Linked DNA regions of Coturnix japonica. The protein of the gene in region 1 interacts with the protein of each later gene in a pairwise test. Links are inferred from orthologs where the notes say so. Each region holds a gene or a part of one and is shown on either strand. Other genes may lie near its edges.

The links.
Region 2: the proteins of DUSP12 (region 1) and EIF5 interact in binary tests that used the Homo sapiens proteins (3 or more experiments, as listed by UniProt). The two-hybrid records come from large-scale screens. The link is inferred for Coturnix japonica from reciprocal best matches to the Homo sapiens genes DUSP12 and EIF5.

The regions. Positions count from the first base shown.
Region 1 is NC_029516.1:70,998,976-71,003,081, reverse strand, and holds the start of DUSP12 (dual specificity protein phosphatase 12), read right to left. Parts: upstream 2,833-4,106; 5' UTR 2,777-2,832; coding exon 2,526-2,776; intron 2,431-2,525; coding exon 2,317-2,430; intron 2,244-2,316; coding exon 2,125-2,243; intron 1,569-2,124; coding exon 1,472-1,568; intron 1,013-1,471; coding exon 826-1,012; intron 247-825; coding exon 85-246; 3' UTR 1-84. UniProt on the Homo sapiens protein: Dual specificity phosphatase; can dephosphorylate both phosphotyrosine and phosphoserine or phosphothreonine residues. Can dephosphorylate glucokinase (in vitro).
Region 2 is NC_029520.1:45,677,760-45,682,087, forward strand, and holds the start of EIF5 (eukaryotic translation initiation factor 5), read left to right. Parts: upstream 1-1,503; 5' UTR 1,504-1,630; intron 1,631-1,808; 5' UTR 1,809-2,002; intron 2,003-3,888; 5' UTR 3,889-4,096; coding exon 4,097-4,168; intron 4,169-4,328.

The DNA of each region.
Region 1 (4,106 bases):
AGTCTCAAGCTCTGTCCTGGCAAACCCAGGGTAGCTGGAATTTGTCTGTGGTCATTCAGAGATCCATTGAAAGAGGCTCTGAGTTCAGGTTTTGGCAGCGGGGAAGTTACCAACTGACAGAGTTCTCGCTTCATCTACTCGACTTTTGTGTATCTGGAAGGCAGGGGTCACCCAGTGGCCACAAGAACACTGCTCACCCCACCAGCTAAAGGAACCCAGCTTAGATGTGCATTTGGGACACAGAAGCTGCAAGAAAAACAAATAATCCATTGTAAGATACATGCAGATGTATTCTATGGTACATTAAGCTACAGCAACCTGCACTAAAGCCAGCACTTGTAGCATTTCACAGAAGTTAAACAGTCTGAAAAACAGGACAAAGAAAAACACCAAAAAACAACAGCTGTATAGGCACAGCTGGAGCTTGCCAATGCCCCAGTGTGTGACAGGCAGCTGTGCTAGCAGAAGGGAAGACATGGAAATGCAGCTGCTCAGACCTGGTGTGGTTCCAGAACACTTGCCAGTCTCAGACATCAGAAAGCCTTGGTCAGCATAAGACCAAAATGGATTTTTATATGTCTCATAATCCAATATACTAAAAACAACCAAAACCTGTCAAATATCCTTCCTAGCATACTCAATCCAACAAGATCACCAGCTCACTTCCTTATACAGGGATATTCTAACATTTGAGAACCTGTTCATAAGCTGCAAAGCTGATGCAGGAGAGGCTGGGAGACCTAGGATGTTGCGTGGGGGCCTTCGCATCAAGGAACAGCAACAGTTTGTTTTACCTCAGCTAAGATATCCAAAAAATGCATTCACCTGTCCTTCTGTTACTCCTAGCAGTGCTGGCTCCATCCACTGCACAGGCTCAATGAAGTAAGAGGTGCACTTAGCAGGGCCACTGCCACGAAGATGCATAGACTCCGTTATTCTCTTGTGAGCAAAGGCTGTTGGTCCACTTCCTTCCATGTGGGACAAAATGCTGGAGCTACGGAACAAAGCGCGCCTGTTCTCCGTGACAAGAGGGGGAAAAAGGGTGAAACACTTATTGGTGAAGCTTAGAGAGCACAGGGACAAGGACCTTATCTTTCCATAGGCAGGCACTGACTCCATTTAGGGCTGCATCTTAACAAATCTTACAATCTGCATAGCCCTGGGCTCTGCTTTACCACTGTATGCTACAATATATGACTGCAGAGCAAGCAGTATCATGTATTCAAGCAAAACTACACCCGCCTGCGTAATGTGGCAAGTTAGGGTGCACGAGTGCTGCACAACTTTGAGTTTTGTATTTCATCATGTATTTGTGCTTGTTTAATTGCTGTGACATGCGTTGTAGGGAAACTTACACAAGATCTTATCCCTGTTCCAGAAATAACGACACGGCCTCTGATTGACACAGGTTATTTTCCTCTCAAGATCATTTCAAAGTGACATTTTGTGGGAAATACAAAAGGTTCAGTACCTGCATTTCCTGCATCTATAGAGAACTTCTGTGTTTGGAGTCTGGTGTGTGTTGGTTGGATCAACAGCAAAGACTTCTTGGGGTAAGTCTTGAAGATCTGCAGAGGGGACAGAGTTGTAAGTCAGACTGATAAAGGCACTGATGTCCCATGCTGTCCTCATGCAGCACACCAGACACAAGGGGTCTATCTGATCCACAGCCAGTTGAATACAGCTACAAGCCACAGCAGCAGGGCTCAGAGGTCATGGATCACGGCATATAACTTAAGACTGGGAACTGTCAGAATTTAAAGCAGCTGCACATCAGAAAGTGGGCGCCTGGTGCTGTCCAATGCAGCATGAAGCAGACCGCATGGCTGCCATGGGCACATCTGCATGTGAGCACTTAGTACCCTGCTCAGGAGCAAGCAGTAGGACTCACAGAATCGTCTGAGCTGGAAGGGGCCTTTGAAGGACATCCAGTCCCTACCCCCTGCAGTGTACAGGGACATCTGCAGCTCCATCACATTGCTCATACCAGCTCCATTCTGACCTCGAACATCTCTAAGGACGGGGCACCCACCACCTCCCTGGGCATCCTGCCTCATCCCAAGCTCAGGGCTCAGTAACACGGTGTGGCTTTTGGACAAGGCATCCCCAAGCTGCCCCACTCACCGGAGAACCTCTCCGTGAGCACCTGCAGGCGATGCTGCTTGTACAGGGCACTGCTGCTGTCCACGACACAGCCCATGGCCTCGTATAGCTTCAGCTGCCTCTGGAAGCCCGGGTTCACCCTGCGGTACGGGAGAGGAGAGCAAGCTGAGACCGGGCCCGTCCGGCTGGGGGTGCCGGGTTAGGGGCACTCACTCAGCGTCGGGTTTAGCGGCCCTGACGGCGGCGTAGGCCTCCTCCCAGCCGAGCCCCTGGGTCTTCATCAGGTACGCGGTCACCACGGCCACGCTGCGGCTCACTCCGGCCTGGCTGCGGGCGAAAGGCGGAGACGAAGCGATGGCTTAGAGCAGCTCGGGGCGGCCGGCCCCAACACACCACACCGCACCACCAACCCCGACCCTCACCACCGCACGAGGACGGCCCCGCCGCCCGCCCGCGCCGCGCCGATGAAGGCAGCGCACTCATCCAGGCGGCTCAGCAGGTCGGCGCCGGGCTCGTCCAGCGCCCGGATGTACAAGGACTGCAACCCCGGCACCGGAGGCGGCTCCTCCGCGTCCACCGTCAGCACCGCCATCACCCCGGCCGCCTCCAGCGCCTTCGAGGACGAGCACGACTCCGCGCCGCCCACGTAAAGCCCCGGCAGCACCGGCACCATCCCGCCGCCCCGGCTACGGCTCCGGTCCCGCCCATAATGGCGGCTTCCGGCGGTCCCAAGAAGGGGGAGGTTCACAGAATCACACAGTATCACAGAATGACCCGGGTTGGAAGGGACCTCAAGGATCATGTAGTTCCAACCCCCCTGCCTGGCAGGGCCACCAAACATACACATTTACTAGATCAGGTTGCACAGGGCCCCGTCCAACCTGGTCTTGAACACCTCAGCCCAACAGCCAGTAGAGGCAGCGTGGAGCTCCAGCCCTTTGCTGGCAGAGCAGTGTGGGAAGCTGAAGTGTCCTTGGCTCTCTGCAGCGCTACAACTAAAACATACATGTGTTATCAACGCTATTCTCATCCTAAATCCAAAGCACAAGCTGCTGGGAAGAAAATAATCCCAGCCAAAAGTGGGACGCTCTCATAGATGAGAACACGGTGTGTTAGCAGGATACCTGTGCAAAACATTGCCATGCAACACATTTACAGCTTGAAGTGAGATGTAACTAACAGTTGCAGCAAAATACTATGGTGAAACATTGAGTTATTCAAGTCTTGAGGGGTTGAATAAAGTCAGCAGGCGAGTACACCTTAGTGAAGGGACTATGTGTTTGATGGCAGGGACATATTGTACAGGGATTGGATGAGTACTAAGAGGTGGTTAATTGTGTCTGTGGGCCTTCAAATGTGAATTTGTGGGGGTGAACAGTAGCATCTGTGACTGTTTTTGCAATGACGAAAGCGACAGACAGAGTTGAGGCGCAGAAGGGAGTGGTGTGGTGCATCAATTCCCAGAGCTGGGGATGCTGGGGGAACATGAAAAACCTACAACTTCAAAGTGAATATCTGTGGTGGGGGAAAGCCCCTGGGCAGCTCTTTGTGTCTGGGGTTGTGCTCCCTAAACAATGCAGCCGTTTCTCTTCGCCTCCCTTTGCTGTGCTTGCCACCTGTAGCTTGAGCATATGGCGATGGATCCCGAGTTTGCTCACAGCTCTCAAAATAGAGTCAATATTGTTTTCGGTTTGATTGAACCTTCCCCACCCACCTCTGCCTCCCCCCTCTTCGGTTTTTGTCTTCTCCTACGCCACTGAAATTTCTAACCGTTTGTTCTCCCCCGGATTCTGGGAAACTGTGTGAGTAATGAAGCAAGCTCAGGTGCAAAGCAAAACAAACTGGAGGGCAGACTGCTGCCCACTGCCTCCAGTAAGAATGTTCCATCTCAGCATGTGCTGCAAGGGAGGGCCTGGGCCTTCATGGAAAGGAAAATCCTTGTGTACACATGAACTATTTCATGAGAAGAAGAGTCTGCAGCCTGTAGATGACACGTGGCAAAG
Region 2 (4,328 bases), on another chromosome or scaffold:
CTGAACTGAGCTACAACAAAGCATTTCTGTGATAAGGAAACACACACTCTAATTAATATCCACTGCTGAAAACTTCCTTCAAACAGGAAGGAAAAGCTAGGTACCAAGGAGACAATAATCTACCATTGTAGTCTGTTTTCTATAATGCAAGAGAGTATATTCTAACTTTCCTGCATGGGTTCTGCTTTTGGCAGTACGGATACCATCTGAAAAGGTAACTCTTAACTTGATGTCAGATTATGCACCATCAAATTGTAGAAATCCCTCTTTACGCTACTAATCATAACTGCTCAGTTATTCATGGTGTCAAGCAGCACCAGTTCCAGGGGCTCGTTTCCCTTCTGCTGTTCAATAAAGTGGTGTTGGCAGCAATATGCTTTAACACTTGCAATTTATTAACCTCAGAGGTGTAGTAGCATGTCAGTAAAGCCACAGAAAGGAGGCATTTAGTAAGTTATGCACGCTGCATATTTTTACAGCTAAGGAGTTCCTGCTGTGCTTTTCTTGCCTCCCACATCTTTATGATGATTTTTTCCCCTCGTGATAACTGCCAAACCTCATATCCTTGGGAGAGTTATTCCCTTGTTTCGCACTAACCCTCTTTCTCATGTTTAAAGAGGCGCTGCTGTGTGTTTCTCAAGGAAGCATTTAAAATAACCTGTTACATTTTTCAGTAGCTCCAAGTCCAAACCAGGCTTACAAAGTGTTTTACAGGACATCATCCTGCCTACAAGGATGTGCTATCGCATGGGCTGAAAGGAAACCTATAAGTAGGGCAGCAGTGATGATGCAGATGATGTAGGAGGGTCTTGTAGGAAGATGGTGAAGAATATCACAGAATCACAGAATTATCAAGTTTGGAAAAGAAGATCATCTAGTCCAACCATCACCAATACTTCCAGGCTAAATCATATTCCTCAGCTGTATATCTGCTGTAAGACACAGCCATAGGAACTGGGGCCTTGTGGCGCTGCCTGGCAGTCCTTAAAGCACTAAGAGCTGATGGAGGGTTGGTTGTGAAGGACACTTAGTAGGTGATGGGGCAGGGCTGATTTAGATGATCTTAGTGGCCTTTTCCAACCTTAATGATTGAGTTTTCAGAAGCTTTTTGCCCCTTGAATGTTTGGAACCATCCAAAATACGTAATTCTCATTGTATGGGAAGGCAGAAGACTGGAAAATAATAAAGGGGAAGGCCCCAAAAGCTCATAGCTTCGAGGTATACACAAGGCCAGGTAGGGTCCCAGCAGAGGGGCTGAGGGCAGGGTTGGCCCCTCAGCAGCAGGAGAGCGAAGCGGCCACCCCCCTCAGCCCCGACCCCCCGCCCTGACTGAGCCCCGCGCCCGCCGCTCCCCGCAGCGCCATCCCGCGCAGTCTCGCGAGACCCGGCCGCTGTAGACGCGATGTCCTTTGGGGCACTGGGGGGGTGGGGGGGGGAGGGAAGCGAGACGAGGGGTGGATTGATCGATAGCGGCTTTGACCAATAAAAGAGAGGAACGGAGGGCCCTGAGCCAATAGATTCATCCCAGGGCGAGCGGCGAGCCAATGGAAAGACTGGGGAGGCGGGGCGTGCCGCTGGCTGATTGATCCCAGCTTTGGCGTTGTTCAGTCAGAGCGAGAACATTCTAGAGGTGAGTACGGGGCGGCCATTGCTGGGGTCCCATCAACCGCCCCCTTCTGCCCGAGCTGCGCGCCCGCCGCCGCAGCTCCCTCCCCCCCCTTCCCTCTTCTCCCCCTTCCTCCTCCTCCTCCTCCCTTTCCTCTCAGGATCCGGCGCTGACGATGCCCCTGGTTGTGTCTCCTCCTCAGATTGTCCGGCATTGCTGTCCCTGCTCATAAAGCCCGTCACAGGACGCCCGGACACGGAGGCTGCGGCGTCCGCCTCCGCCTCCTCCCCCCGGCCGGATTATAAGCGCCGCACGGCCTCGTTCTCATCGCACACTCGGCTTCATCGCAGCCCAGGGCGAGCAGCGTTGGGTTTATGTCTTTATTGGACGAAAACGGTGAGTGTGGGGGTGGAGGTGGAGCGGGTGGTTGGGCCTTGGGAAGGGGCGAGCGGGCTGGGCTGGGCTGGGGCGGCCGTTGGTGGACGGGCGGCTGTGAGGAGCCGTACCAGGGACCCGCCAGGAAGGAGAAGGAGATAAGAGTTGACACATTAACCTCTTACCATCGTTGGTTTGATGTTCCCGGTGGCTGTTTAGCGTTATTTTTTATTTTTCACTCGATATTTCCCCCCCCCCCCTGCGCCATGCGACGAGACAAGATGGCGGCGGCCGGGCCGCGCCTCCCCGCGCTGTGGGCGGTTGTGGGGGTTGGAGCTGTGGCGCAGATACAGGCTGAGGGGGGAGGGGGACAATGATCCACAGCGGGGGGGAATGGGGGGAAATGGGGGGAGAAGAGCAACAGGAGCATCCCCCCCCCCCCCACTTTAGAGCTGGGGAACGCATGCGCAGTTGGAGGTTCCCCCCGGTCTATTCCGGGGCTGAGTCAGTGCTTAATTGCTGCATTTATGACTCATCACGGGCCCGATTGGGGCGGGGAGTGTTGCTGAGCGCTCTGCCCTCCCTCTTCTTTTTTTTTTTCCCCCACTCTGTGTGCGGCATATTGGGGGGGGGGAGGGTTGCTTGCTTGGGAGGAGGAGTCCCAGGGAGCAGGGGAGGGAGCTGCAGCCCGCAGATAGAAGCCGTGAGCTGGAAGGAGGGGAAGCGACACGTTAGCTCTGCGAGCTCACAGAGGTACTGCTTCCTCATACTGCTTCCTCAGCGCTTCTCAGGCACATGGTCGGGTCACATGGGGGCTCTTTTTTAGCCACTCTGAGGAAGGACGGCTTGTGCTGAAGAAGGGTAAAGCTGTGTTGGGACTAATACATAATACATAGTGTACACATAATCTGTTTGCTCCTCGTGGAAGGATTTGTAAACCTGAACAGAGCACAGAATGGCACTCTTACACAGGAACATGGAGGAGTCTGTTTTAATGTGTCAACACTCGTGTGTCATTAACGATAACACGGTGACGTGTCAAAGTGAGCACGCTGCAGGCTGGGCTGCCAGCCTAGTCAACCAGTTGTGGCTTACGTAACCTTAGATCTGATTACAGGGGCGCATGTTTATTTAAATATGTAAATACTGCTTAAGGCAACTTTAATAACAGGATTCATCCTCCTTCCCCCGAGAAAAAAAATGAACTGGAGAAGCTGTTGCACTGCTCTGTACCTCTCTGCGCTGCTAGGCTTTCTATAGTGAAGCAGTTTATGTCAGGATTTATCAGGCTTATTATTAAGTCAAAACTCCACAGAAGCTGCTATGAGAACCTGTAAGTGAGAGGGAGTATCACCTAATTTTCCTCTCCGAGCCAGAAAACTGGTAAGCCACGTAATAGTACTATTGGACTGTGGATTGCTGCTGCTTCAACTTAGGGATATTTCTCAGCTTTCTGACAATCCGCAGTTTATTTAATAGGTTCATGTGATGATGCAGAAATTGAGTCTGGTGTTCTTCTCCCACTTCCCTTTCCACTTTAGCGTGGACCGTACCACATGACCTTAGTGTAAGAGCCCTTGGACTTCATTAATCGGCCAGTGTTCCTTTTCTTACTGATCACAGCTGTCTTGCGAGTTAATTGTACAGAAAATACTGTTCATTTACCCATTGTTTTTTAGGGAGTAAGGTAGAAGAGAACTTAAAGTTCTGTAGTGTAGGTGAGGAAAAGCTATTCAGCAGTGCAGTTCAGGGCTATTGTCTTCAGCTTCACAGGCTGAAGAATGGTATATAATAATGAACTTAGTTTCCCTACCCATAAATATAGTTCCTTGTATAGCTGCATTGCAAGATTTTATTGGTGTATGTTACAATGAACTTATTGCTTTTCTGTCTGTTGATGTTTGCAGAGCTGTTGCGCAGCCACTGGTACCTGTATTGGGGAAACATAGCATACAAGCAAGAACCTTACAGCCTCAGTGGCGAAAATTTTTTCATGTCAGAGACCGAGAACTCTTGCAGTCGTTTATGTCATCCCGTCTTCTCCAGACAGAAGATACCAAAAAACTGCAATCAAAGATCTCTTCATCTTATTGATAAAGCTACTAATAAGGCAAAATGTCTGTCAACGTCAACCGCAGTGTTTCAGATCAGTTCTATCGCTACAAAATGCCCCGTCTGATTGCCAAGGTAACTTAATAGCTATTAGTGATAAGTAGATAGGGTTTCACATTGGTTGCTTTCTATATAAAGGAATGGAGGTAATGATATCAACCCCAGCCAATCATAGGGAGCAGATGTCTGCATCTTTCTGTCTGAACTAATTGTACATTAATGCCTCTGAAGTAGA